Linked DNA regions of Arabidopsis thaliana. The protein of the gene in region 1 purifies or fractionates together with the protein of each later gene. This does not show direct contact. Each region holds a gene or a part of one and is shown on either strand. Other genes may lie near its edges.

What was found.
Region 2: the proteins of MCM5 (region 1) and SMU1 fractionate together in Arabidopsis thaliana (co-fractionation; one large-scale study listed by BioGRID). This does not show direct contact.
Region 3: the proteins of MCM5 (region 1) and GTB1 fractionate together in Arabidopsis thaliana (co-fractionation; one large-scale study listed by BioGRID). This does not show direct contact.
Region 4: the proteins of MCM5 (region 1) and GYRA fractionate together in Arabidopsis thaliana (co-fractionation; one large-scale study listed by BioGRID). This does not show direct contact.

Annotation. Positions count from the first base shown.
Region 1 is NC_003071.7:3,522,250-3,529,977, reverse strand, and holds MCM5 (Minichromosome maintenance (MCM2/3/5) family protein), read left to right. Parts: upstream 1-2,477; 5' UTR 2,478-2,589; coding exon 2,590-2,859; intron 2,860-2,927; coding exon 2,928-3,071; intron 3,072-3,148; coding exon 3,149-3,328; intron 3,329-3,407; coding exon 3,408-3,506; intron 3,507-3,577; coding exon 3,578-3,714; intron 3,715-3,813; coding exon 3,814-3,919; intron 3,920-4,213; coding exon 4,214-4,348; intron 4,349-4,435; coding exon 4,436-4,513; intron 4,514-4,719; coding exon 4,720-4,824; intron 4,825-4,915; coding exon 4,916-5,007; intron 5,008-5,092; coding exon 5,093-5,225; intron 5,226-5,328; coding exon 5,329-5,424; intron 5,425-5,573; coding exon 5,574-5,665; intron 5,666-5,755; coding exon 5,756-5,846; intron 5,847-5,928; coding exon 5,929-6,038; intron 6,039-6,122; coding exon 6,123-6,252; intron 6,253-6,331; coding exon 6,332-6,433; intron 6,434-6,515; coding exon 6,516-6,599; 3' UTR 6,600-6,994; downstream 6,995-7,728. Other genes in the region: ABCC13 (multidrug resistance-associated protein 11), read right to left, coding at 7,487-7,728. UniProt on the Arabidopsis thaliana protein: Probable component of the MCM2-7 complex (MCM complex) that may function as a DNA helicase and which is essential to undergo a single round of replication initiation and elongation per cell cycle in eukaryotic cells.
Region 2 is NC_003070.9:27,722,946-27,731,066, reverse strand, and holds SMU1 (transducin family protein / WD-40 repeat family protein), read right to left. Parts: upstream 6,077-8,121; 5' UTR 6,009-6,076; coding exon 5,983-6,008; intron 5,472-5,982; coding exon 5,261-5,471; intron 5,171-5,260; coding exon 5,018-5,170; intron 4,570-5,017; coding exon 4,521-4,569; intron 4,278-4,520; coding exon 4,194-4,277; intron 4,042-4,193; coding exon 3,938-4,041; intron 3,803-3,937; coding exon 3,716-3,802; intron 3,619-3,715; coding exon 3,565-3,618; intron 3,200-3,564; coding exon 3,104-3,199; intron 2,941-3,103; coding exon 2,816-2,940; intron 2,570-2,815; coding exon 2,443-2,569; intron 2,345-2,442; coding exon 2,285-2,344; intron 2,187-2,284; coding exon 2,079-2,186; intron 1,985-2,078; coding exon 1,884-1,984; intron 1,742-1,883; coding exon 1,690-1,741; intron 1,444-1,689; coding exon 1,345-1,443; 3' UTR 1,036-1,344; downstream 1-1,035. Other genes in the region: EIL3 (ETHYLENE-INSENSITIVE3-like 3), read left to right, coding at 1-633; AT1G73710 (Pentatricopeptide repeat (PPR) superfamily protein), read right to left, coding at 6,902-8,121. UniProt on the Arabidopsis thaliana protein: Auxiliary spliceosomal protein involved in splicing of specific pre-mRNAs that affect multiple aspects of development. Required for proper accumulation of SMU2.
Region 3 is NC_003070.9:24,310,873-24,316,178, forward strand, and holds the start of GTB1 (global transcription factor group B1), read right to left. Parts: upstream 3,768-5,306; 5' UTR 3,660-3,767; exon of another isoform or gene 3,587-3,659; intron 3,507-3,586; 5' UTR 3,456-3,506; coding exon 3,425-3,455; intron 3,301-3,424; coding exon 3,208-3,300; intron 2,997-3,207; coding exon of another isoform or gene 2,955-2,996; intron 2,693-2,954; coding exon 2,563-2,692; intron 2,325-2,562; coding exon 2,261-2,324; intron 2,157-2,260; coding exon 2,006-2,156; intron 1,928-2,005; coding exon 1,807-1,927; intron 1,724-1,806; coding exon 1,486-1,723; intron 1,388-1,485; coding exon 1,199-1,387; intron 1,125-1,198; coding exon 1,017-1,124; intron 925-1,016; coding exon 538-924; intron 465-537; coding exon 357-464; intron 251-356; coding exon 1-250. Other genes in the region: GLC (HXXXD-type acyl-transferase family protein), read left to right, coding at 5,003-5,306. UniProt on the Arabidopsis thaliana protein: Transcription elongation factor that enhances the transcription elongation by RNA polymerase II (RNAPII).
Region 4 is NC_003074.8:3,339,745-3,348,112, forward strand, and holds the start of GYRA (DNA GYRASE A), read right to left. Parts: upstream 6,617-8,368; 5' UTR 6,500-6,616; coding exon 6,075-6,499; intron 5,981-6,074; coding exon 5,911-5,980; intron 5,813-5,910; coding exon 5,747-5,812; intron 5,633-5,746; coding exon 5,531-5,632; intron 5,343-5,530; coding exon 5,298-5,342; intron 5,222-5,297; coding exon 5,123-5,221; intron 4,984-5,122; coding exon 4,897-4,983; intron 4,764-4,896; coding exon 4,693-4,763; intron 4,205-4,692; coding exon 4,096-4,204; intron 3,991-4,095; coding exon 3,928-3,990; intron 3,779-3,927; coding exon 3,713-3,778; intron 3,618-3,712; coding exon 3,529-3,617; intron 3,328-3,528; coding exon 3,279-3,327; intron 3,126-3,278; coding exon 3,039-3,125; intron 2,938-3,038; coding exon 2,844-2,937; intron 2,459-2,843; coding exon 2,388-2,458; intron 2,303-2,387; coding exon 2,213-2,302; intron 1,823-2,212; coding exon 1,697-1,822; intron 1,611-1,696; coding exon 1,453-1,610; intron 1,355-1,452; and 14 more. Other genes in the region: GalAK (galacturonic acid kinase), read right to left, coding at 7,045-7,292, 7,427-7,516, 7,625-7,694, 7,789-7,817, 7,910-7,950, 8,113-8,264. UniProt on the Arabidopsis thaliana protein: A type II topoisomerase that negatively supercoils closed circular double-stranded DNA in an ATP-dependent manner.

The DNA.
Region 1 (7,728 bases):
ACCCTAAACCCTAAACTTTAAACCCTAAACGCTAAACCCTAAACTCTAAACCTTAAACACCTAAACCATAAACCCTAAACTTTAAACCATAGACACTAAGCCCTTAACCATAGAAATATATCATATACCATTTACCATATAAACCCTAAATTTTAAACCTTCTTATTATTGCTTATAAATATTAAGCATAAATCCCCTAAACATAAACCAATTGAGAACATAAAAAATTCATATGATTTAATTCATATGATCAAAATGGAAATATATAATCTAACAAGAAGCATATAACCCTAAACCCAAAAATAATTGTATATGACCATGGTCAATTAACCCTAAACCTTATACCATCTACAATAAACTCTATAATCATTGTAAACAATCATAGTTCCTTAACACTAAATCTAAAACCCTAAACACTAGATACTAAACTCTAAACATTAAACCCTAACCCCTAAATTTATACCCGAAACCCTAAACCCTAAATCTTAAATCCTAAATCCTAAATCCTAAATCCTAAACCCTAAACCCCTAAACCCTAAACCCTAAACCCTAAACTCTAAACCCTTGATATTAAACCCTAAACCTGTTAAACCATAAAGACTAAACCCTTAACAATATACATATACCATATCACGTATACCCTAAACCCTAAACCCTAAATTCTAAGATCTTCACTTTAAAACTTCTTGTTGTTGTCCATAAATATTAAACATAAATCCCCTAAATATAAACAAATTGAGATAGAAAATCCATATTATCCAATCCATATGGACAACAATGGAATATATAATCTCCAATGAGAAACATGTAACCATAAACCCTAAATCATTGTAGACAACTTTGATTCTTCAACCCAAAACCCTAAATCATCTAAACTAAACGCGAAATCCTAAACAATAAAGCCTAAATCCTAAAATGTAAACACTAGATACTAAATCTTAAACCCTAGACATTAAACCCTAGCCCTTGACTTTAAAGCCTAAACCCTAAAACCTAAGTTTTATATGTACATAATCTATAACCACCACTTTTGATCCATGATAATCTAAAGCACGCTTCTTAACCTGAAAACGTAAAATATTATTGAGATCGATGTGTTCATACACAATCTTACGATATACACTCGTATTTATGTTTTGTTAATATGTAATCGTGGATAAATAAATATAAACATTTTCATAAATAAACTTTTGTTGATATGACCAACAAAACTTGTTTCATCACATTTTATCAACATCTTTTACATAACGTAACACTGGTTTTATGAATAGTATTAACAAAACACAATCATTTTGAATTATCGACCGTCAACACACATCCACCAAACTCTGACCATGTGGTCATTTCAAATTATCGCCTATCACTCTTCTTTGATTTGTTTTGTATTTTTTCCATTTTTTCATTATTTGCTCATGTGTTTTAATGAAAATAGCATCAAACTACCTTTAAGTTACAAATTTATAGTAAGAATATATGTTTGGGTTCTTTAATTCAACTCTCTCTCTCTCTTTGAGGAATTTCCACAAATATTTGGTGGCCAAATCTAAGATTTGTAAAAAGACAAAAATTTGACCAAGACAATGATGGATACACTAAGAGAAGAAGAAACCTAGCAATTAAAAATGAAAATTTTAACCTTATGAGGTTGATTAAAGAATGAGAAACTGAATAAAAATCTTGAAAATTTCCAACTTTTAAGATCTAAGAAGAGAAAGAAAAAAGAAAAATCTAGATCTACTTTTTGGTGTTTTTGATGAGAGAGAAGAGAGATAATGTCTCAAACCATTTCCTTTTTTCATTAAGATATTTTAAGTGTTTTGTGTGTTTAATTTTGTAAAGAGTAGAGAAAAAAATGAATGAAAAGAGAGAAAAAGTAATGGTTGTAAATTATGGTAAGTTTGGATTGCTTAGGTTGGGTTGATGGTGTAGTAGTAAAAAAACTTTAAAAAGTGTTTACTCTTTCTAAAGTGCTTTATTGCGTAATTGAGTTTCAAAAAAGTGTCCAATTACCTAATATTCTCAAAAACATTTATCATGTTAATGACATTTCTGTAATTAACGTAAATGAGAAGGATATATATGGTTGATTTTTCTTTTCTTTTTTATAGTTACTTAATTTTCAAATTATTAATGTTATAAAACTAAAAACTATTCTTTTAAACATATATATTAATATAGCCTTAAATTTTAAGTGACATTGAAGAAAATTACGATGGAATTGAAAATGCTTACAACGATATTAAGTAGCTTAAAAATATGAAATTCTAAAATGTGCAATTCATAAATTTAAGATTCCTAGATGTAGTCCATAATTATATTTTTATCTGTTTGGTTTTTTATAATAAATTAGAAAAAATGGATAAAAAATGTAACCTTAGCTAAAAAGAAAAAGAAAGAAAGACCCAATAACCAACGAAATCCATTTACCCGTCCATAGGTCTTGGGTTCGGCCCATCAGTTTCCCGCCACATTGTTCCCGCCAAAACTCATAGTCGACATAAAGCCCTTGCCCCCACTCTCTCTCTTCGTTTAGAACTTTTTGATAAGAGAGAAAGAGATAGAGAAATTCGTAACGGAGACGAAGCAACGATGTCAGGATGGGACGAAGGAGCAGTTTACTACAGCGACCAGCCGCAGTTCCCGGAGGCCGGAGACGCCGCAACCATCAGTCCCCACGCCGTCTTAACCAAATTTAAGGAATTCATTCGAAACTTCGAGATCGAACAGAATTGTTTCCCCTACAGAGAAGCTCTCCTCGATAACCCTAAGCGACTTGTTGTCCACCTCGAAGATCTCCTCTCCTTTGATTCCGATCTCCCCTCCTTAATCCGATCTGCTCCTGCCGATTATCTCCCTGTGGTATGACTTCAAAAAAAATTAGGGTTCATATAAGCTTTGTATTGAGTGAGTCAATCTTTGAATTGTAGTTTGAGAAAGCAGCTGGTGAAGTGTTGACTGGATTGAAAATGAGGGAGGCTAATGAGGGAGGGGTAATGGAGGAACCTCTGACTAGAGATGTGCAGATTTTGCTCACTTCAAGAGAGGATCCAGTATCAATGAGATTACTTGGGGTATGTCTGTTTTTTTGTTTTTAGTATCAATGAGATTACTTGGGGTATGTCTATAATGTACTCTTTACTCTTGATAGGCACAGTACATCTCAAAGTTGGTGAAAATCTCTGGGATTAGTATTGCAGCTTCGAGAGTGAAAGCAAAGGCGACTTATGTGTTTTTGGTATGTAAGAATTGTAAAAAGACAAGGGAAGTTCCATGTCGTCCGGGTCTTGGTGGGGCAATTGTTCCTCGATCATGTGATAATATTCCACAGGTGAGTTCTTTTGATTCGTTTGTGATTTGAGTTTGTAGTTATCCTTGGTGTTGATTAGACCAAATTGGAATTTGTTTAGCCTGGAGAGGAGCCTTGCCCTCTTGATCCTTGGATGGTGGTTCCTGATAGGAGCCAGTATGTTGATCAACAGACCTTAAAGCTACAGGAGAATCCGGAGGTATAGATTTACATTGTAATGTTTTCGCTTTTTTTGCACTTGTATATATTAAATGCTTCTGAGTTTTGAAGGATGTTCCTACTGGAGAGCTTCCAAGAAATATGCTTCTCTCAGTTGATCGGCATCTTGTACAAACAATTGTACCTGGAACCAGACTGACAGTAATGGGTATCTACAGCATTTTCCAAGCTTCGTCATCATCTAACTCGTAAGCTTTGTAGTTTTATGTCAAATGAGAGTGTAGATTGTTTTCTGGGAGAGTTACACCACAACAATGATGGACATCTTTTCCTACTTTCTGATGTAGGCATAAAGGAGCAGTTGCAATTCGCCAGCCTTATATCCGAGTTGTTGGACTGGAAGACACAAATGAGGCCAGTTCCCGTGGCCCTGCCAACTTCACTCCTGACGAAGTTAGTATCGCATCATTTGGTTCTTTTTGTTTTCTCATTTGATAGCCTATGTCATCCATGGTTTCACAATGAACTATTGAAGTTAACATGGCTGAATTATTGTTACTGGAAACCAAATGCCTTAGGTAGCTGTTGGCTCTATGAAATTCTTTGTGTAACTCCCAAATGAATGTGATGGTGTTTTCTGGAAATATTCTCTGTGCTACTAGTTTACTATGAAACATTTAGGCCTGCTTGGAAGCCTAGTTGTACAATTCCATTTATCAGTTTTGTCTTCCATAATATTACTTTTAGGAGGAAGAATTCAAAAAGTTTGCTGATAGTCAAGATGTATACAAGAACATTTGCACCAAGATCGCTCCTTCTATATTTGGCCATGAGGATGTGAAGAGAGCAGCTGCGTGTCTTCTCTTTGGAGGATCCAGGAAGGTAGGAAACTGTGATAGCAGTTTTTATTTTCTGTGCACTTTGTATACGTTTTTGATATATTTATATACATTTCTATCTTTGATTCAGAGCCTGCCCGATGGAGTGAAACTAAGAGGTGATATTAATGTTTTGCTTTTGGGAGACCCATCAACTGCAAAATCACAGGTTTGTAATGTGGTCTCAGTATCAATGGTTTATAATAAGTGTGTTATTCTTTTTATATTTTCTTACGTCTCTCTTATTTGCTTGATATTCGTCTTACATCCTTCTGTTCAAGTGTTAGATTACAATCCTTACAAAATGTCTGTGTTATTTCCAACACCTGTAGCTTACATGTTTAAAGCTTAATTGCTTATTTTTTTTCTCTCTAGTTTCTTAAGTTTGTGGAGAAGACGGCTCCAATTGCTGTTTATACATCTGGAAAGGGTTCATCGGCTGCTGGGCTCACAGCTTCGGTGATTCGAGATAGCAGCACTGTATGTCCTATCTTCAAGTGTTTTTCTATGATTTGTTTAAAAGTAGTTGCTATGACAGATTCTCAGTTATTTATACATATGTTCATTGCAGCGAGAGTTCTATCTTGAAGGTGGTGCTATGGTTTTGGCTGATGGAGGTGTTGTGTGTATTGATGAATTTGACAAGATGAGACCGGAAGATAGGTAATTCAAATCTGAATCATAGTGTTGACGAATCTAATTTTTCTCTATGAGTAGAATTGATGGAATGTTTTTTTTTTCTTTATAGGGTTGCTATTCATGAGGCAATGGAGCAGCAGACAATCTCCATTGCAAAAGCTGGGATAACAACTGTCCTTAATTCTAGAACCTCGGTGCTTGCTGCTGCTAACCCGCCATCTGGTCGATATGATGACCTTAAGGTTTGAAATCTGGTACTCTCCTTTGGCAATATCATGGTTTTCCCGATTCTTGTTTGCAATATTCTTAAGAGATGGGTGTGTTTTTTTTTCTTTGGATTTGCAGACTGCTCAGGACAATATCGATCTGCAGACAACAATTCTTTCTAGATTTGATCTTATCTTCATTGTCAAGGACATCAGGAAGTATTCCCAAGACAAGGTAAGCAAGGAAAGGAACAATTCTTTCAGAAATTTTATGTAGTTAAAAGGGAAAACAGAGATTAATGATGGAGGTCACTGTTATTGGAAAGTTTGCTTCGTTGCTTGCTTATTATGTAGACATGATTAATGTTTATAATCTTTTCACAGGAAATAGCCAGCCATATTATAAGGGTTCATGCATCTGCAAACAAATTTTCGGATGAAAACACAGATTCTAAAGAAGATAATTGGCTCAAAAGGTGTGTTTTCATTCGTCGAGAAAACAATGTGTTCTCGCAGTTTTCTGTACAAAATCATGACTCTAAAATATAATGCTCTTTTTATGTTAGGTATATACAATACTGTCGAGCAAGGTGTCATCCCCGTCTCTCAAAAGACGCTGCTGAGAACCTGCAGCGGAAATATGTCACAATCAGAATGGTAATTGTCATTTACATTAGATTTGACAATAAGATGGTTAAAAAACAAAGTTGGTGTCAGTATAAAATTTTCGGCTAAACAGGATATGAAGAGACGTGCACATGAAACAGGAGAGGCTGCTCCGATACCTATCACAGTGAGACAACTCGAAGCTATTGTCAGACTGAGTGAGTCACTTGCAAAAATGAGACTGTAAGTAATCTTATTAACATAGAGATTCCTGATTCCTGAAACCTGATGGGATGTGCCGTCCATTGACATTGTTAAATATGTCAGGTCACACGAGGCCACACCAGATGATGTAGACAAAGCTTTTAAACTTTTTGATACCTCGACAATGGATGCAGCAAGATCAGGGATAAATCAACAGATAAACATAACAGGCGAGATGGCCAATGAAATCAAGGTTAGTTGCTTGTGGGGAAGAAAGAATCATCGTATCTCTAGATGTAATAACTAAATTTGGTATTGGTGTGAAAAAACAGCAAGCGGAAACACAGATAAAGAGAAGAATGGGGATCGGAGCTCGATTATCAGAGAGAAGACTGATAGAGGATCTGGCTAGAATGGGAATGAACGATTCAATGGTACCTAAGCTAACATCTTTGTTGTTTAATTTTCAGTAATGTGAATGGGATTTTTGAGGTAATGTGCATGTTAAAATGGCAGGTGAGGAGAGCTTTGTTGATAATGCACCAGAGAGGTGAAGTTGAGTACCAGCGAGAGAGACGTTCTATTGTCCGCAAAGCTTGATCGTCTAGGCATGCAATCTCTCTTCTTTAGTAGCAGCGATGACCAAACAAAACAAAATATTTAATATTATCAAGTTAATTTGTAGGCAAAAAGTAGAAAGAGAAGCTTATGTCATGTGTATTTGATGAAGATTCTTAGTAAACTTTTACGCTTGCTTCAAACTAATGTATTCTCCACCTTTGTTGTCCTTAGTTAAAATGTCACGCCAATGTTAGGAAAGCGTTTGAAGATTGCTGAATGGTATAATCTAGTGCCGATAGTTAAAGTAAAGATGCAGATAGAATAGTTGATAAAGTAAAAGTGTAATCTGAACGTATATGTAAATTAAAATTTTCTTAATGTTGTTATTAGTAGAATGTTGTTACCTTGAAAAAAAAATGAAATAAATAACCATGGTTGAACTTGACTCAAAATGTTCTTCTTTTAAACTGGTTCGGGTTACAAAACTAGTATGTTGTTGAATTTTGAACTGGTTCTGAAGCTCCCGGAATCTCTCAATTTCATTTTGTTCTTGTGTTGTTGAGAGATAATTGCTTCTCTATTTAACATATTTTTGGCCAATTACTTTACTCTATCATGCATAGCTTGGGAAACTCATGGCTAAAGCTGTTTTAAGTTGCAATGAAGAATCAATTCCTTCTGAACTAACTTCTTGGAAGAAAAACAGACAATAAGAGTACCATTGTTTACTTCTCAGTTCTCAATCACCATCGAATTAGATAGATATTTATGAATTTGGATTAGGCAAGTCCATGAAGACTCATTTATTATGGAAAACTGAGCATATAAATGAGCTACTACAGTTGAAACTAGTTTTTCTTAATTTCCATGACAAGATAATTATAGCAGAGATCAGAAGTTACAAGTGATCAGATTCTAACAACATTTCACTGAGAAGCTCTGACAAAGCTTGAAAAAGTTGAGGAGTCATCTTGCAAAAGATGTTGTGGTTTTCCTTGTTCAACAAGAATTCCACGATCAAGAATTAGGATGCTGTCTAAATCAACAACCGTAGAAATGCGGTGAGCAATGGTAATGACGGTTACGCCTTTGCATTCACTCGATATCGTGTTGTGGAGTAGGGAAGCTGTGTGAACATCGATGTTGGCGGTGCATTCATCAAGGCATA
Region 2 (8,121 bases), on another chromosome or scaffold:
CAAGATAAAGCAGAGAAACATCGCAGAAGGAAAAGACCTCGAATTAGATCCGGAACTGTCAATCGACAAGAGGAAGAACAACCTGAAGCTCAACAAAGAAACATCTTACCTGATATGAATCATGTTGATGCCCCTCTGCTAGAATATAACATCAACGGTACTCATCAAGAGGACGATGTTGTCGACCCAAATATTGCCTTAGGACCAGAGGATAATGGTCTGGAACTAGTGGTTCCTGAGTTCAATAACAACTATACTTATCTTCCACTTGTTAATGAACAAACTATGATGCCTGTAGACGAAAGGCCAATGCTTTATGGACCAAACCCTAACCAAGAGCTTCAATTTGGGTCAGGGTACAACTTCTACAATCCCTCTGCAGTGTTTGTACATAACCAGGAAGACGACATTCTCCATACACAGATAGAAATGAATACACAAGCACCACCTCACAACAGTGGGTTCGAGGAGGCCCCAGGAGGAGTACTTCAACCCCTTGGTTTACTCGGAAATGAAGACGGTGTAACAGGGAGTGAGTTGCCTCAGTATCAGAGTGGCATTCTGTCTCCATTGACTGACTTGGACTTTGACTATGGTGGTTTTGGTGATGATTTCTCATGGTTTGGAGCTTAGTGTCTTGCCATTTTTTTTGGGAGATTACATAGTAAGTTTTTTTTTTATTACACAACACCATCTCATATATTTGATCTTAGTTTATAGATTTGATGTATTTTGTTTTACTGTTATTTTTGTAGGTTCAAAAGGACATGGCAATAGTCTGGCTAGTACAGTTACTTTCTCTTCTTCATTTCTTCTGATCTTATATTCTTCCTCTTTTTTTCTTATAATATTTTCTTAGATTTGTTAAGAGAAACAATTTTCCTTTTGAATAAGTTGCCAGAAGAACTGCTTTGCCCGTTGTAATGGTCTCTAGGGAAAGCAGTTAGCGTATCATCATTTGTAAATTTACCTGTGAGTAATTCATCAAGTTAAGAGAATCATTATTTGTTTCTTTTGAACTTCCCAAGTTTTCATTTTTTTTTATATATTTTTGAGCTTGACTTTATTCTTTCCTAAGACTAAAAAGTATATGGGAGTTGACTGGCTGGGAAGGTCAAAGAGGAAGGAGACACGTTGTTAAATAAACTACTACAAGGCTCAAGGCCAGGTGAAACGGTCTTAAAATCTGAAATGCTGGTTTTAGAGTCTGTGGGTAGTGTTCCCAAAATGGCTGAGATCTTTGCAAAGATGGTTTCACATTACACTAGTTCTAACCCGAGAAGAGTGCAAATCAAATAAAGACAGACTAATCATACAGAAAACAAGACTTGATGATGAGAAAACTCAGGGCTTCCATAACTTCATAGTGCAATCTTCACTATAGGTAGCAAGGAGGTTTCTATGCGGGTGGTGTGTTATACCAATCACATCCTTCTCATGCACCTGTCATAAGCATAAACTATTCAGAAACCAGGTCTAATAAAAGACAACTAAGATAAGTATTAAGAGAGAGAGAGAGAGGATGATAATCTGAGCTCTAAAATGGAGAACAGATGAATCAAACATTATAACACACAAGGGACTTCATTACTCTAGTGAGTTACTGTTATGTGTTTGTCTCAAATGCAACTTTCAAATTTCCAACATCCAAAATCTTTTGGAGCATGTCTGTTACGGATATAAACTTACCATCATGAAATGCTCAAGTCCACCAGATTGATAGTTGAAGCAGTACAGTTTCCTGTAGGTGCAAACACCATTACGAACATCAAAGGCAGAAGATGAAACCCGAAAAGAAAGGAACCATAAGATTATCCTTTGAAATCAAACTCGTGGAACTTATCCAAAAATAAAACGATAGATATAGGAGGTTAGAGTGTTACTTGTCTTCGCCGATGCAGTATATCCAATCTCCTTTTGTAGATACACATGCTGCTACAAAATCTCCTCCTTCCCTATTACCGGATGAGAAACTCTTCACAACCTGCAAAAGGATTCCAATATAGAAGCATGTGAACAATCTTAGTTTTGGCATGACAATGACACTGATTTGCAGGAGACCGTTGCTGGAAATTTACCTGTCCTTGGAGTGTCATAATGTATATAGATGATGTCTTGTTGCACACAACAATGTGTTCTGTGTTTTTGGGGAACAAGTGAATAGAGTTGACTGATGCATCAGTTCCCTATATTTCAAAATTCAGACTTGGTAACCAAAGAGTTTGCCACAGAAGATCAGAAAAAGTATTACAAGATGTACATAAATCTGTATAAGAAAAGATACCCTTAACGGAGGTGGCGGCTTGAATGTTTGTAGACAATCTGTCGTCTTAGAATCCCAGACCTGTGCAAGGAAACAAGACTGTTATTACACGGCAGAAGGGGCAGAGAGTCCAAATGAGAAACAATGATACTGCTGACAGCCAAAGCCGAAGAATTTACCTTTACTGTACAATCACTGGAGGCAGTGATAATACGGCTTCCATCACTTGTAAAGATGGCATGATTTACATAAGATGTGTGACCACGAAATTCTTTCAACAATTTCCCAGATTTCAAACCATGGATTCTGCATAAAATAAAGCAAAATATATAATAAGAATTTGATATTATATTCGACTAGAAGCTCTACCAATAAACTTACATAACTACCAAATGAAAAGGAAAATATTAACAAAAACAAGAAGAAAAAAGATGCAATCAAAAGTTAAAAGAATATTCTACCATCAAAGAAATATAAAGCCTCAAGTTTTTGATAGGACGAGATTCATATCGCAAGTACAAAATAAAAAAATAAAGATATAACTAATAAAACCTTGCAGTTTGGTCAAAGGAGGTACTCAGTAATTGGCTTCCATCCCGAGAGAAGGAAAGACTTGTAACTCCTTGGGAATGTGCATCAAAACGACGTATGCATACACCAGTCCTTATACGCCAGATCTGCAAAAGTGACATGCATCTAAGTCTAGTTTTTCTATTTGTATTCAATCAGAATACATATGGGACCAATGAGAGGAAGAAGATATATCTACCAAACTGCCGCAATAGTCTATCTTCAGACAAAAAATTCAACTTTAAGGAAACATATGCAGCTGGAACTTACTTTAATCTTTCCATCTTGTGACCCAGATGCAAGCATCTCTGAATCTCTGCTAAAGTCTATGCAGAGGACAGGATCATCATGCATCATGAAAGATTCCTGTCAGAAATTAATCATAGTAAGTAAAGAGGATGGAATGGGAACTCTTTATCCAAAACTGATATTTTGTATACCAGGAAGTCTCAGACGAGATACTTGGTGCTTTAGGAGTTACATTGGAGAAAAAATTAAAATTCAAAGATAACAGTAATCCACCATATACTTGGTGCTTCAGGAATCTCATGGGCGACATTTTTGGAATAAAAAGCAAAAAGTAATCCACCATATCATTCTCACAGACTTGTCACACGTTCAATAATCAGATGCAGTAAGGATTATTTTCATTTGATTAAAATGTACTAACAGCTCATCTGACCCCGTACTGAGTTAGAATTAAAAAATGAAAAGAAGACATGAGAGCTTACATCAGCTTGATATTGCAAATCCTTCTTGAGCTTTCCACTTATGTAATCCCATACCTGTAATGCTTTTCAAGTCTGAGCAATCCTAGTCACAGAATTATTTTAAAGACTAATAACTTGTATTATCATACATACAGATTCCGGATCAACTCACCTCGATAAAACCATCCACAGAAGAAGATGCAAGAAACTGTCCATCTGGTGAGAATCTAGCGCATTCTGCATGACTCTTTTTACCAAACTGCACCAGCACCAGCACAAGGAAAAAGATATGAAAATTAGACAAGAACTCAACTGATGAGAAAACCCAAAATAATCATGAGCAACAGATCATAGACCACTAAGCTAAAGAAGCTATTAAAGTGTGAATATGAACCTTTATGGTATGAGTAAGAACATTAGGATGTGTGTCTTCTACATCTTGCTTCATAGCTGCCGTCCCACGAAAGAGGTCAAACTGTGTTCCTGGAGGGAGCAGGCCTGACACAAGTGTATGTAAATTTTAGGAAATGAGAGAGGGTACATATGTTGATTCCATTGATATATTAGTAATGTAGGCAAAAAAGTAAAAGAAAACGAGATGAAGTTTGACAGAACTGTTTGGTAGCATCCACAGTTCCTTAGATAATCACCTTGATGTTGTTGCCACTTTAAAGCCTGACCTATCAAAGCCATTAACCGTGAAGGTGGTACCACGGTAACCTCGGCAGCCACAGCTGATCGAGTAGGAGAACAAACAATTAGTGAACCTTGAGTACATACTGAGCAAGAGAAAACAAAAACTCTATAACCATTAAACAGGAAATAAGTTCTCGTCATAACTTCTTTTCATGTCATAATAATATTTAAGCATGCAATAGAGAGAGTATTCCAGAACATCACTTGGTTCCTTCAGGTAATTAATCATACAATAACTGAAGAAAATTGTTATTGTAGAAAATAAAGAAGAAATGGCCAACCTTGAGCAATCTGTGCCCGTTTTCTTTCTTTAGTTGAGTCTCCATAAGCCTTAGAAACAAAGGTAAAATTAGCAAACCATGATTATCACAAGGAAATGATTACATGAAAAACGCCACTCTTTGTGCATAACATGAACAATGACTAGGAGACAATACACCTCAAAAGACTAATCAGATAGAAAAGTCAAATCCATCAACATGTAAAAGAGCTAGTAACATGTAAAGATACTTTTGTACTCAGAAATACGAGCATGTGTTATACTTTGAGACCCTCATCTAGAAACAACTTCATGTTTAACCGCTCACTGGTTCTACTTAAGATTTTGAAAGATATCAAAAGTCGCAAGTAGAGTACAGAAAATGCAAGAGATAACAGATATAGCAACATTGTTTGAACTGTTGAACAGTTGCGGACAACCATGCTTAGGTGACACAGCAACAACAAAAGCAACACCCAACGTGATATTGAATAGTCGAGCATAATATAGTTTCCATACCTCATGCGGATCAAAATAGCTTCTGACTAGAAGATGCTCCATCCGCAAATATCTTTCTGCTTGCTCCTGCTTCATGACACCCATCACCTGAGTTTGTCTCAAAATAGCTCGGGCAGTGTCCAACTCTCGAAGTTCTATCATCTCCAATACAATCTGAAAAAATCACCCCGAAAATAAACAAAACTTACAATGACAATCACTATTTTTATACACTTCTACATTTCACAGAGTAAAAGAACAAACCTGTTCATAAAGGTCTTCAAGTTTATTCCTGGGAAGTTTAAGCTGGGAAACTTGAGGTAGTACCGAGTCCCATCTTCCACTATTAATATCAGAAATAAACGTCTCGACGCTGTCTACTGTATTCAAGGAAACCTGACACTCGCTTTGTAATGTCTGGAATGTCTGATTCAAGGAATTTTCTTTGCAGAACTGAAGCATAATCTTTATTACACTGAGACATTCAACACAATAGAGAGCTATTAGGGATGAAGATCTACACAAAGCTGACATATAGCATCAAAACGTTCTCCATCCAATATTACTAACAAAATGGCTAATAATACTGTCAATGGTTTCAATCCAAGCCGAGAATTAACAAGAGTTCAAATTTATACAAATTGGATTTTTCCTCGAGACGCATTGCAAAGAATCAAAACACTCTAACGATGATCTCCCTCAAATTTTCGTATACGACGTTAATTTAAACGAAGAATAGCTACGGAGGAATCTAGATATTCAGAAGCAATTAGCTTTAGAAGAACCAAGCTAAAACAAATTATGGGTAGATTTAAAAACCACAACTTTAGTATGGAGGATATAAAAAAACCAACATTCAAGATGTTTTCTCCAAACATGTAACCTAAGATCCATCTGAGCATTCGTAAACGATGGTTCTTGGAGCACAATTCATATCAGTGACACTAAACGAAAACTAGGGTTTGTAAGAGAAAGCGAAATCTTACTCTCGAGCTTCGATTTCGAGCGCCATACTCAGTCGTAGTGGGTTTTCGCCGGAGACGCTAAGAGGTAAAAATGCAGCAGAAAACACACGCGAAGGAGTTTCAATTTGGTTTTAATTCCAGGACAATGCCTCAAATATCAAATATTATGGGTCAAAATTAAACTTTCAGAAACTCCGAGTGTTATTTTGTAAATTTAAAATTGCAAAACATTGCTTACATACCATTTAGCTTTAGCTTCACACCCTTTTTTTTTACAACTTTTAGAGAAAGACAAAGACAACAATAAACACATTGACACTGTGGTCTTCAAGAGTTCTCCACTGGTTCGTTCCACTCCTCTGTTCTTCAACTCTAGAGCTCCATCATCATCTTCATTGCTCACTACTATTACTTTCTTGAGATCAATAACTGATATACTTTGACTGAAGCTGAGAGACTCTTTGTTCCGAATGGAAGGAATTTGCTGGCTACTCTGTTTCATATCTTCCATGTTGATATTCATCACCAGTAACTGACAAGATTCCAAATTGGAATCAATTCCAGAACATCTGGCTCTTTTCATGGGCTTTGATGCTATACAATTGAAAATAAGAGCAAGCAAGACAGGAGAAAGATGTTCAATCCAGAGACCAAAACCAACAGAAGACCAACCCGATGATGCAAATCAATCTATTGTTGTAAGGAGCGTATGCTAATTCCTCTACCAAAACCATAGCCAAAGGTGCTCGCTTTTATAGATTTGACCCTGTGGAACCTTTTTTTTTCTTTCTATAACAGTTTTAAGATACACATTTCTTTACCAGAGATCAATCTGAGGCTTAAGTATGCATATTTCCTTTGGCTTCTGTGAAACTGTACAGTCCATTTCCACTAAATCCTATATTCTACAATATTTCTTACATACATCTGTGGCTACACTTCAAAATGCCTCGTCTTCTTCAGAATTTTCCTCTTCATCGTCTTCTTCTTCTTCTCCAGATCTTGAACTACACTCCCTTTCAGCTTCAAAAGCAATGCTCATCTCTTTCTTCACCACATCAGCCAAGTCCTGTCTGTTTGCACTCACATAAGCATCTCTAACTGCTTTAAACAACGATTGGCTTGGTTCAAGCTCCCCAAACGTCAGCCGGCTATGTACCCTCTTCACACCTTCCACCATTCCCGCTTTCCCGTATATCCCAACAAGGTAGGCTTGCGTGACAATATCTGGTTCTAGACCTTTTTCCTGCATTCTCATGTATGCCTTTAGGGCCATGTCAATGTCTCCTGATGCACTATAAGTGTATATCACTGCGTTGTATGCAAAATGCTCGCGAGGAATTTCACCACTTGTGAGCTCTTGGCATGATTCCAGCGCATATGCATACAAACCCATGGCTGAGAACAGAGTTGCAGTGATTGCTGGTGTTGCCAGTGGTTTAGCTTCATTGTATGCGGTTTGTAGCTGCGACACAGCTTCACTTGGCACCCCACCTTTCTTCAAGAGCGTGAAGAGCGTTTTAAATGTTCCCCAATCCAGCAAGAGCTTTCTTTCAACTAACATCTCATGAAACAGTTCACAGCATTCACTTAACTGCCCATCAGCAGCGTAGCAAGCCATAACCTGATTAAATGAAGTGCAGTCACTTAGTAGACCAGACTCTCTCATTTCTTCAGCCACTTCAATAGCCTCGTCGAGCATGCCCATGCCCTTGTACAAGTACATCATTGTTGCAAACGAAATAACATCACATGTGCCTTTTTCTCTGAGAGCATTGAAAATGGATTCTGCTTCAGAAACTATGCCAAGATCTGCACACAGACTTAGCATGCTGTTTGATGCAGCAACATCTGGGCCACCTTCTGAATCCTTCATTTTGTCATACACTCTCCTAGCTTCTTCAAGACACCCCACTTTGCTATAAGCCTTGATAAGGGAAGTCAGAACGATATGATTGGACTGAACGCCATGTTCTTCCATCATTCTAAAGTATTGAATCGCTTCTTCGACCATTCCACTCTCAGCAAACCCATTAATTAAGGAACCATAAACAACTTCATTCGGTTTCACCCCTGTTTTTTCCATTGCCTCGTACAGGTCAACTGCATCAGACAACAGGCCAAGCCGCACATAGCTAGCTATCATAGCAGCATAGGTCT
Region 3 (5,306 bases), on another chromosome or scaffold:
AATTCTCAGGCAGCTTGAAGGTTACTTGAAGAAGTTTCTCCTCTTCTCCCTTCTGAATGAGAAGCCATTGTGCACCCTCAAACTTGCTCAATGGCTTTTCACGCAACCACTTAATCCCAGAAAACTGATGGAACGAATCAATTACTGTATTTCCATCTGCTGTTGGACTTGTTGAGACCACTGCATTCTCCATATAAATGCCACGGACATACTTTTTGACTGATGGCTCGCAACTTATCTCAACTGCAGCCTAACAAGGAAAAATGGGATATCTCCGCATTAGTGATTAGGGAAGTCCTTCTGATATTAAACCCAGCTAAGCAATTCAAAAAATAGTATTATTGCAGAGTATATACCATATGCCGTGCACCTTTCAGAACTGCCAGAGAATTTTCAAACATTGCGCACACAAAGTTTTTAGCCATCTCCTCTGGTGTTTCCTTTGCATCCTCAAGCTCATCAACCTGCAACTCATTTAGCGTCAGAACTGCCATTCCAGTACAACATGCAAATCAAACAATATAAAAGCATACCGACCAGTTTTTCTAGGGACAATGCAAGTCCCAGTTGCTCAGCACTATACCCAAATTTGTTTGCAACCTCCCAGAGCCCTGCTTTACTGCAGATGCTATATTGTGATTTCCTTTTCGGCCTCTTATACTGCCCTTCATCAACACCAATTTCACCGGGAGGAAAATGCAAGTTGAACTTGGAATCTACATCATCAACTTCTCTTTCTGTTTCTGCAACTTTAAGAGACTTAATGACTGATTCAAAAAGATACTGATTTAGATTAAGTCTTGTTTCATCATAGACCCTCCTAGACTCTTCTTCGTAACGTTTTGTATAGTAACCATGCAACGCCATTTTCCTTTTTCGAAGAAGGAGCCACTTCTTATCCAAGTCATGAATCATCCAGAAGACCTGCATTGGAAAATAGTATAGAATCCACCAAATTTCCTCTGACAATAAATGTTAACCTGAGCACTTGTTGTTTATCCAAGATAATTGCTTACCTTATGCCACTTGGTCTCAGGTTTCTTGCCTTGATTGGCGCCATCAAAATCACCAGTGTCCAACAAGCTCCGGCATTGCTCCTTTCGGTACATAGCTATAAACGGTATCTAGAAGAGACAGAAAACATTAGCAAGCTAATCAATGAATCAAAGAAAATCCAACGAGAGAATGAATCCAAAACCTCTAATTTCTGCACATGATGTAGCTCCAAAAATTTTGCGATGTCATCCTTATTAACCGAGAAACCCCGCCCATCAAAAGTTCCATCAGATTCTCTAAGTTGGGAAGCAAGTTGAGCATATATCCAATTGCTTTCTTCTTCAATGCTAATTTCATCTACAGGAGGGCTTCCGGTGCTTTCTTCAGATATCTGTCAAAGTTTACAAGATATCTTTACATCTATCCTTGAACACCAAAGAAAACATAGACCACAAGTATACATAGAGAAAACTAAAGAAGATAATGCACCTGCATTCTCTCAGGAATATCAAGCTGGCGGATTTCATCATCATTCCCTGTCATATATTTCTCAGAAAGAACAGTTGGTTCAAACTCATCTTCGAGCCTTCTTTCCATCCTTTGATTAGATGCCAAACCCTTTTTGCGAATTGTTAATAATTCGTCAACATCACCAAATATTTCATTAGCATCTCGCATAGCAGTAATATCTGATCCCTGCCTATATTTCTTTTTCTTCGAGTTGCCCCTGAAAAGTAAGTTGATTAGAATCAGAAAATGTACATGACATAAGTGATATGTTAGGGCACAAAAAAGACAGAAAAAAAATACCTCTTAGGAGGACCATGCTCATCATCTTCATCTACAATAAAATCTGCCATTTCATCCTCGCTCCCAACTACATCTTCTTCCACAACTAAGTCTTCCTCATCACCTACATCATCAGGTGGATCTAGTAGACACAAAATGTACATAGTCAACTATGTGCCAACAGTCAACATAATAGTATCAGAAGGCACAGAGAACCTACCATCAACATCAACATCATCAAACAGCCTGTCTTTGATCTTATCCTCAGCACTTCTCCTAGTTCCACCTCTACTATCAAACTCATCATCGGATGATTCTCCCTGGCCATTTCCCTGTTCCCTTTGAGCTTTCTTCAACCGCTTATACTGCCTCTGTCATGGTTCAAGAAAAAAGTCAAATGTATTAGTACTGCACATATATTTTTAGTGTATCTACAAAATCCTGATGTATTGTTATATACACAAATATGACTAACCTTTTTGAATTTGACGTTGTTATCTTGTAGAAGCAAATAATCATCTTCATCAAGACCTTCGTCCCTATTAAAATTATCATAAATGGAAGGTTAGTCAGAAAGAGAACAGACCTGCTATAGTTCGTCTAATGGTAACTTACATACTCATCACAAACAATGTATGAAAATCACAAATAAAGACTGCTGAGAATTAAGGGAACATTTCTTCAAAAGTATCATGCATGTCAACACTAACATTTAGTTTTTCATATGTTAGAAAAGGATAAAATCTAAGAGAATGAGTAAGGATATAAAATATTCACTTTTTCTTTCGTTTCTTCTTCTTTTTCTGCCTCTCCTCATCGCTATCTTTCCTTTCTTCGTCTTCTTCCTCTTCTTCCTCTTCGTCTTCATCATTCACTATGAACCCATCATTCTCATACTCATTCCCAACTACAAAACAGATATACGGATCCCACATCATGGAACAAAAATAGCCTGAATCTAAGTTAAAAAGCCTAGAAAGAAAAAGAAAAAAAAATACTCAAACCCAAGGTGAGAGAAATGTGTGCAGCTCAAAACTTGCAGAAACCATGAAGTCTAAAAAGGAACAAATCAAGCAACCGTATGAAACAGAGAATATAGAAACAAGAAGTGGTAGAAGGAGAGACTTTGCAGCAGATAAGTAAACATCTAAGAAACAAGATGCATTCACTTTTTTTTTTTTTTTGGTTGCCAAATCCAGACACTGCATCTTCTAATGGAGCAAATGCAGCAGAATTTCTCCAAATGAATCGATTTTAAGACAAAGAACTGCATGCGCTTCAGTACTAAACCAAACCATACCACTAATTTCCTTCGATGCAATCAGACTCTACAGCTTCCAGATTTAGGGTGGTAAGCAAAAAGAAACGAAAGACGACACATTTCTCACTGGGAGAAGTCAAAATCAAGGAAAAAACTTATACCGTCATCATCATCTTCTTCATCATCGTTTTCATCATGCTCAGCTGGATCTCCATGAACTGGCTCTCCGTCGTCATCCTCAAGCTCATGATCCTCTACGCAAAAGAGAAAAGGATTCAATTTTTTCATACAAATCAGAAGAAATAAACAAAACCCTAGTATTATTACGGCGTTTCACACAGAAAAAAATTAGGGTTTGCGACGAAGCGATTAAGGTACCTTCATCGTCAGAGATTGCGTTCCTCGCCATGTTTATCTCAACAAATTAGAAGTACGATAACGCAGAAATTAGCCCTGCAAACTGCAAAAAAAAACGAAGAGATTGTGATTATGATTTCTGATTTTGCGAAGAGAAAGGGGGAAGAAGGTTCTCGCGATTACTAGGGTTCTTCGAAAAGAGAACCCAGAAGGAGCTAGAGAAGAGAAATGGGTTTGGTAAAGGAAGAAGCTTTACCAGTGTGAATTTTTCATAAGCGAAAGGCGACGAAGAACTGATAAACGAAGAAGAAGACGGAGACGATGAAATTACAAGTTTATACTGACAGATTTGCCTCAATTTTTTCTCTGCGTTTTAGAAATATTTTTTTTTTAATAATGTTTTTAAAAATTATTATACTTTTTGAAGAAATGTAAAGAAAAAAAAGTCGAGACTAAAAACAAAACAAAGTTTATTCAACTTATCTTATAATTAGAGTGGAGAATATTTAATTCGATAATTCGAAATATAAGAAAATAGACATACATTAATAATTAATAAAAAAACGTTACATCGGCTAAAATGTTTAAACAATTATTTAAATTTATATGATAAATAAAATTAAAATAAATCTAAATCGGATTCAAATTTAAAAGTTTGTCTATAGATTAATTTAATTTTTAGTTAAACAATTTAATTTTATCAAAAATATAAAATTTTAAACTGTGAAAAAGTTTTAAATCTTATAATTGATATATTTAAAATTAAATAACAAGTTGATAATAATATAAACATTTGGACATATATAAAAATAAATATAACACTAGACAAATTATATTGTAGGACAAATTTTACACATGAGGCCCTAAAAACTTTTTATATTAGGTGGCCTAAAACAAATGTTTCGGCTTTTTTATGAACGGGCCGGGCTTGGATTCGGCCATATTTTGAGTTCATGCCTTTTAATATGGCAAGAAAAAGGTTAGAAACTAGACTAATTGTAGATTGTAAGTTTGTAACCGTAATGAGATACTGCAAATGGGTAAAAATCGTATTATTCCATAAACCACAAATGGAGAAGTCAAAGTTTGGCAAATATCACAACAAAAAGGTTGATATATCACATGCATATTATGTAGCTACACCGACATATCAAAGTTCTCCTATCAAATTTTAAAAAACATAAATCACCAACCCTACTCACACCCACCAATGCAGCCCATCATTCTTCCCAAATCTATAAACACAACACAATAATACAACAGTGACAATTTTAGCTTTTAAAGAATAACGTTTTCATGTGACTGGATAAAAACGACGTCTACGTAGCACGAAACTGCTTTGTTTGTTCTTGTAACGATCCGTACCATATCTTTTTTTATTAAAAAGTCACATTTATTATGGGATCAATAATTTACTCTCCATGGATTATTTCATACTATAATGTACACGTACATTATCATAAAGCCAAGATAAAATTAAAAACGCCTTTTACTACGTGTTAGTCTATATAATATAGATTAAGTCTGAAACCCAAATCACAAACTTCACTCAAAACCTAATTAACTTAGAGAGAAAGAGAGAGAGAGAAGGGTTGCAAAATGGGTTCTTCGTACCAAGAATCTCCACCGTTGCTTCTTGAAGATCTTAAGGTTACGATCAAAGAATCAACACTCATTTTCCCATCTGAAGAAACCAGCGAGAGAAAATCCATGTTCTTATCCAACGTCGACCAAATTCTCAACTTTGACGTTCAAACAGTTCATTTCTTCCGACCTAACAAGGAGTTTCCACCGGAGATGGTCTCGGAGAAGCTGAGAAAGGCGTTGGTGAAACTCATGGACGCTTATGAGTTCTTGGCCGGGAGACTCCGCGTGGATCCTAGCTCTGGACGGCTTGATGTTG
Region 4 (8,368 bases), on another chromosome or scaffold:
AATTAACAATCAAATGAGAAACCATATAAAATATACATTTGAAAAGACTGTCACATGAAGGGAGTACCGTGCTCTGCGAGATTGGATTGAGATATCCCTGACTTTGATCCGGTTCACAGTTCCGCTTTGGCTCACCAGAACTACTTGCTCATCACTCTCCCCATCCTCTGCAAGAAAACCCAATGGTGAGATTATATATAAACAGCAATCAAAGAACATTTAAATCCGTATTTGTGGCAGTGTATACTTACCAGCCAAGGAGTAACCAACAACGAAAACAGCAGCCAAACGATCATCCTCAGCAAACTGACAAATTGAGATTTAGATGTAAGGGAAAAATCAACACAAACACAACCAAAAATGGTGAAAATCCAGATCCTACCTTGTATCCAGATAAACCAACTCTGTTCAGACGCGAACGCCGGAAGCTACTCAGAGGAACACGCTTTCCATAGCCATTCTCACACACGAATAATAGCCATGGACCCGTGGATTGTTTCCTGCTTTTGTGATTGTGTTAACAAAAGAAGACAGTAAGACATAAGTAAGTTTCTAGAGCAAACATCAGCAGATATAAGTTAAGAAAAACATACACAAGTGAAGCATCTTCCGACTTCTCTTCCATATCTTTCCGCAGAGATGCAGGTATGATGTCCATGCTCGCTATCTTATCCTCATTCTTGAGTCTCATGGCAGTCACTCCCTTTGTATTTCTGCTCAGTGTGCGAACCTAAACAAACAAAAGCCATCAGAGTTTGCTCAAGTATTAAAAGGTTTACATGAAAGATGAATCATTTAGAAAAAATGAGAGCCACAACTTACACCATCACATGTACTCAAGGCGACCATTCCATTTTGGGATGCCATGGCTACAAGATCGTCGCTTGAGCAACAACGAACCCATTTCAGTTCATCACCAGAATTCTGAAGACAAATAATTTTGTTAGAGTAACCTTGTTAAGAAGACTTCCTATATGACTAAGAAGAAAAAGGGGACAAACCAACTGAATTGCTATGATTCCAGTTGAGCGTATTCCTGAAAATAATTTCAAAGATACTTTCTTGATGCAGCCATTCACTGTAAGCATCAGGAGGTAGCGATCTTCAGCAAACTCGCTAACAGGAACAATGGAGGTTACTCTTTCACCTTCCGACATGGATAATATCTGCTTCCACAAGTCACATGAACACAGCAAAACATTAGCCTTTCATAAAATTGAATAATTTTTGACATAGCAGAAGGAAAACATAGATACACAGATATGTAATTACCTGAACCAAAGGTGTACCAGCTGCATTGCGAGAGCATTCTGGAATTTTATATGCACGGGTTGAGTAAACTATACCCCGGTCACTGAATGTACAACAAGTATAAGCAATGAATTACAACAAGGCAGAAAATTAATATCCATGTGCGTAGCAAACACAAAGGAAATTTTGAGGTATACATACCTGAAAAAGAGGACATGGTCATGTGCATGACAAACAAGAAAGTCAGACATTGCATCATCAACTCTTAGTTTCCCAACAGATTTGCCAATTGTTCCACGATGCTGAAGATTGAATGTATCGGCCTTCATTCTCTTCACATAGCCCTTTTCGCTGACTGCCTATAGTCATCCATATCAAAAGTTACAAAACAAACAACAAAAATTTCAACGTTGAGAAACTTTCTAGGTTTAAGTATGCAACATACCATCAGCATCTCTTCATTTGGAATAACATCTATATCTTCTAGATCACCACTGTCAGAATCCTCCAACATTGAACGCCTGGGACTTGAGAATCTGTCCTTCAGCTCTATTGCTTCTTGTTCGATTAACTAAAGAAAAATACAAGAAAAACAACGAAGAGAATAAAGTAGTAAGTAATATACAATGAAGTAAACGAAGCAAATAGTTCAATTTTGGTCTACAAGAAAATCATCATGTATCAGTTATCTTCCTAACATTGGCCCAGAACAGCAACATATAGTAAGCAGCTTTACAGATATAAAAATAAGTACCAAACAAGAAATGGAAGAAGCATTTGAATCCTTATACCACATCATAATGCATGGACTAGATTTTGAACCTCAGTGGACTCAAACAGTCAAGCTTACAAATTTGGAGTACATATATTGATGCATCTATCATTCTACTAGCATCTAGGTGTTCTAAATTTCTAATATCAATAGCCAAAAGAACAGATAACTAAAAAGTGAGTGTGTCACCTTTAGGATGTTTGTTCGGGTTGATAATAGCTGCTCCAACTTTGTAATTTGCTCTGTTAGTGAACTACTTTCATCAGTAAACTTTTTCCGCTGCATTTATGAAGGGAGAATCTAGTTAGAACATTGTCAAGCCTACAAGTTTCATAAATTGAACTTAGCGAGAATAAGAAAGCACCTCAAGAGCAGTTAGCCTTCGAAGAGTTATCTCCAGTATAGCCTCAGCTTGTTTCTCAGAAAGACCATATTCTACATAAGTAAATGTTTGACAAGTGTTAATTTTAATATATGGTATCGTCCCTTACAATAGAGACTTACAAAGCATAAATCCCTAAGAAATCTTTGCAATTAAGATCAAATCTTACAACGAATGAGACTCCAGCAGTTCCAGATAAAAAGACAAGAAATATATAATGTTCAAATGTAATATGGAAGAGTTCACCACAAGATGTATTCTTTTAATAGTGTACATCCTAGACTACATCTATCAGTCCACCTAAGAAAAATTGGCTCTAGTCTACTTTTTGACTCCTAATTCTCGCTCACTTTTCCGAATTCTGTTTATACATCAACCTATAATGTGCAGTTCAAGATTGTTACATTGATTATATTGTCAAAGTAAAATATAGCTCACCACTTTGTAAAGCAGCAGTAGCAGAGGAATGACTTGAGGCCTTCGTGATGAGTTCGATTACTTCGTCCACATTGTCAAGCCCAACCACAATACCCTAAGCATATATACAGTGAAGATATTAGAAAAAATGCTTTACATCATTACATCATGGTCTTCACGAGCAGATTTAAGAAAGTTAAATATTTCTAGTCGCACCTCAATAATATGCTTTCGTTGTTGTGCATGTGAAAGCTTGAATCTTGCACGCCTTTCGACGACAGAACACCTGAAATCTATAAATGCCTACACACAAGCAAGAAACAGAAAGTAATCAACAAATTTACTTTAAAATGTGATTACAGTAGCACAGAAGTAAATATCCTATCTCTGATCTTCACTTTTCTATTACTCCTTGTGGGCTACGTAGATAAATGATTTACATAGACAAGTGGTCACCTGAAGTAGTTCTTTTAATCCCATTAGCTTGGGTTCTCCATCGCAGATACTGTAAAACACAGAATACCATAATCCAGTTACGATAAAGAAAAACGCATATGTGAATACATGATCCTTAATATATTTACAAGCATAACATACTCATTAGAGAATTTTCAACTAGTCATCCTGGAAAATGCCCAAGTTCTTTTATATGCCCACTCTTCAAAAAAGTACAGGAAATAAGAAGTTATCGGTTGATGCAACTCACCCCACCATGTTGCAGCTGAAGCTTGATTGAAGGGCAGTATGCCGGTAAAGATTATTAAGCACAAGTGCAGGATCCCCTCCTCTTTTGAGCTATAGAGAAGTATTGGAAATTATCTTAATTACCTTCCAATATGAAATTTTAAAGCAGACTAATACATCTAAGTGCAGAGGAAACAGTGTAATACCTCAATAACCACACGCATCCCATTACGATCACTCTCGTCACGTATGTCACTTATGCCCTCTAGCGTCTGAAAACAAACACCAACATCAATGAATAAAGAAGAAACTTTGCAAGCATATAAGGACATACTAGAAATGTAACACACCTCTGAGTAAAATAAGTACATATTGCTAAGTGAAGCAAAATAAACATTAGATGTCGCAAGTTTAGTTGTACCTTATTTTCAACAAGTTCGGCAATCTTCTGGACAAGTGTAGCTTTGTTTGTCTGGTAAGGAATCTGCAATAAAGTCACACTAAAGGCATTACTCTACTGCTAATAAACATTTTTGAAACCCTCATCCATGGAGATCTGAACATTAATCTAAAAAACTAAATTGATCACCTCTGTGATAATAACTGCATTCCGCTTTGTCTTTGGATCCAACAATTCAACTTCAGCTTTTCCTCTAACTACAACTCGCCCTCGGCCAGTTCGGTAAGCATCCAAAACCCTTGAAAGCGCAAACACACATTAGAAAATTATAAGAATCCAACATTGTAAAAGGAAATGGCATATGAATGCAAACTATTTTTTTAATAAAGGTATTCAACAAACTCGAGAGTAAATGTACTACACAACATATAAGCTTTCAGAATATTAAAAAATCACTCACACCATCAGAAAAAAACATGATGATTCAAAAACTGCATATGACAGACAAATAAAGGAAAACTATTAACTGGACCATCCTCTTCACTCATTTTCTAGGTTCCTTTTAAGATATAGGTACAGCTTCTGTAATCTGTTAGAATCATAGATCAAAACAAAACAAAATGCTTTTCTATTTCCATAAAAAAAAAGTTTCACACTTTAGAAGTGAGTCTTTCTATTTGATCCTATAGATAGCCTACTCTCAAAAAATTAGCAAACGAGGTGGGCAAACAAAAGTCATTAATGTATAAGATCCCTTTGGGGAGAAATTGGAAAGCAAAGAGTTACCCAAGGTTTCCCATTATTATTCCTCCAGTTGGAAAATCCGGTGCAGGCATGTATTCCAGCAGTTCTTGCAGCTGCCCAGACGAAGAAGAAAGTGGAAACAAAATCTTATGAGTTGTCTACTTATAAAACAGAGGATTTTTCATGTAAAACAAAAGACCCACAAATTGATAAATCACAGAAAAACAAAGGGGAGATGAGTGATACCGTTGCTTCTGGATTATGGATTAAAGCGCAAAGCACGTCTACCAACTCCCCAAGATTATGAGGGGGAATATTTGTTGCCATGCCAACCTAAACAATGTGAAATGATCAAGATTCAACTGCATATTCAATCTCATACAGCAGGGAAAATCTGCACAAGATTAACTGAAGAAATCTCGAACAAAATCTATTAAGGAGTTCAGATTTAAGATTTGTTTGATTATTTTACCGCAATCCCAGAAGCTCCATTCAACAACAAAGCAGGAAGACGAGCAGGCAACACTGCTGGTTCTTTTTGTGAGTTATCAAAATTGGCCACAAAATCCACCTGCCAAAACAAAAGAGGTTAAGGACCATCTAGTTGAGTATCGGTAAACTTGGCAACAAATTAATAGTGAGGTTACCGTATCTTGATCCAGATCAGACAATAGTACTGCCTCTGCCAGTGGCTGCAGAAAAAAAATAAGTACAATCAGCTGAAAACACTGACAAAAATACATGTTCATCTCAAGACAAGAGAAAAAGTAGAGATGAGAGATACACTATAGATAGCAAAGACAAGTGAAACAACTAGAAAAAGTGAATTGCAGGGAAAACCATTTCAACTAGAAGGGAAAGTAAGGTAAAAGGCACTCACATCGAGTCTGCATTCAGTGTAACGCATAGCAGCAGGAGGATCTGCATCTATTGAGCCAAAATTTCCATGGCCTTGGATAAGTGGACATCTCAAGGAGAAACTCTGCCAAAAAAACAAAGGTATTAAAACAAAAAAGTCAGAAGTTTGGGAAGAATCGAATCGTGCCTGAAACATTATTTGAGGACTGGACTACATTCCATGAATTCAGATATTTACCTGAGCCATCCTAACAAGAGAATCATAAACAGCAGTATCTCCATGCGGATGGAATTTACCAAGAACCTGAAAACCCAAAGAATTCAACAGCACAAATCGTTCTTCAGAATAAGATATTTAGAGAAATCGACTGAGAAAACACTTTCCAAAAATCAATAATATACCTCTCCAACAACTCTTGCACATTTCTTGTATGGTTTTTTAGATGACATCCCCAACTCATGCATTGCAAAGCTGGAAGACAAAATAATCGAACATTAGAAGGAACAATACCACTGACTAAGCTTAAAAATATCAGTAGCTTTGAGCCGAACGAAAGTCACTCAACAGAATTCTCCGATGTACTGGTTTTAGTCCGTCTCTAACATCAGGCAAAGCACGTCCAAGCAAAACAGAGAGCGCATACGACATATACGACTCAGTAGCTTCCTTATGTAGCTCAAAAGGCACAATACGAGATTCGTCCCCAGAAACAACCAAACCGCCATTGTTAGCTCCGGACTCTTCCTTGACCTGCTCATCTCCGCGCTTACCAGCACCGACAACGAATTTGCCGGACCGAGGAGTACGGGAGGAGAAGAAACGCGTGGCGGAGGGTTCAGTGCGGCGGAGACGGCATAATGGGTCGGTGAGGGGGAATCGGAAGAAGGAGCGGCGAAGAAGGGAGGAAGAGAGACGGAGAGTGGAGGAGAGAGACATGAGAGAGTTAGGGTTAGGGATTGAAGCAGTGGAATGGCATAATACTGGAGTCATGCCCAGAGGGTTTTAGGGATTTTTACAAGTACAAATGGATTAAAGTGCTAAAACCCTAGAGAGCCACACCGGAGAATTTCTCAGGCGCGAATTTCAATACTTTGGCGGGGGTCTTTGTGTCCAAACAAAAAACTAATCTGTATCTCTATTTGAGATATACACTATTTTATACAAACAAGATTATAATAACTAACTTTCGATTTCAATTTCTAATTTCATACTTGTATAGTGTCTTTGTTAGATCAATTACAGAACTAAATTCACCAATTGTTGAAAATTTAACAAATTTATGGAGAAATGTTAGTCACATTTTTGAAGTTTGCGATTCTTCTATCGACTCGAAAACGGTAGAGAATGATTTACATTATGTATTTGTAGCAAAAAAAATGTATCAAGCAATGATGAAACTCCGACCAAAGAGACCAGAGAATTTCTCAGACAGGATCAAAAAGAGATAAACAAGCAAAGAATCAATAAGCGTGAGAGATATAAGGGACAAAAAAATCGAGTTTAAGTGGGGAAGAAACCAAAAACTCCAGGATTGATCAGAGAAGAACACGAGCAGCGTCACCTGCTTCACAGATGAGAACAGGTTTTCCTCCATTTAGATTGTTAGCAAACTCGGGTTGGGCCTTTTCATATTCATCCTTCACATATGAAGCAGCTGCCTCAGCTTTTTCTGCATCTACAAAGGCTAGACAACATCCCCTGAAACCTGCACCGCTGAATCTAGCTCCATATACACCAGGAGCCTTCAGAAGAATCTTGTATAGCTGGATCAGTGGCTCCGCACCTTCACAAAACTCACAGAATTTAAAACCAAAATAATGAATCTAAGAGAGAATAATGTCTGTAAGCATACTAGTGGTCTGTATTCACTATAGGATATGTTGCATTTGGGAGAGAAGAAAAGAGAGTGTAATGTACCGCATTCGTAATTCTCAATGGAACTCAAGCCGGATGCTGAAATTAGCTTTCCAAATTCTTCAAGATTCCCTGAAGCCCAGGCTTCCCGTCCTGAAATTTAAGAACAAACATTCATAAAAGTCCGTTAAGCATCATAAAGAGCTTAATGAATCATTCATGCACATAAAGAGACATCTACAAGAATTCAAGAACATTTGCCTTTGATAACTCGCATGTTCTCCGAGAAATAATGCTCTGCTCTTTTAGCTAAAACCGGTTTCAGCTCATGCTGCACGAACAAGTATTATTGTATTACATATTTACATAGGCCTGATATAGGTGGAACCTGTTTTACCAAAAGCTTAAGAATCTTATTTTCTTACCTTGTGAGCTTCATAGACCGCATGCTCAACTATTCAGTGGGACAGTTAGAGACATGGCAACAAAGAAAAACTAATCAGCATGCAACGAATAAGTTAAAGTCCACACTTAAAGTTTTTTTACCATTGCACAACGTAGGTTCCAGCTCACTGTTCCCAGATGCACTGAAAAGAAAAAGTAAATCAAGAGAAGGGTGTGAATCTTGTGATGCAGAAAAATGAGTATCACAAGCAATAGAGAAATAAACTTTGCAGCATTTCCACTGAAATTTAAATCTAAATAAGCGAAAATGTAGATAAATATGAATCAAACAGATTTGCACATACGTCAAAAGAACTTTTGCTGCCTCTTGACACTCAGAAACTCGCAGATTATATCCTGGGTTGGTGGTCAACGCCTGCCTCAAGCCTGAGAATGCTAACAATATCCTGAACGGTTTCTCCAGTTCAGGAGCCTGTACAAGCTCGTGGTCCAAAGTCTGCATATTTCAAACAGTTTTTCTGAGATGGCAGTTTCTGGAAGAAAATAAAGTTTCCCTATCTATGGCTGGTTAGGAAGGATTTCTTCAAGGCCTCCTGATTC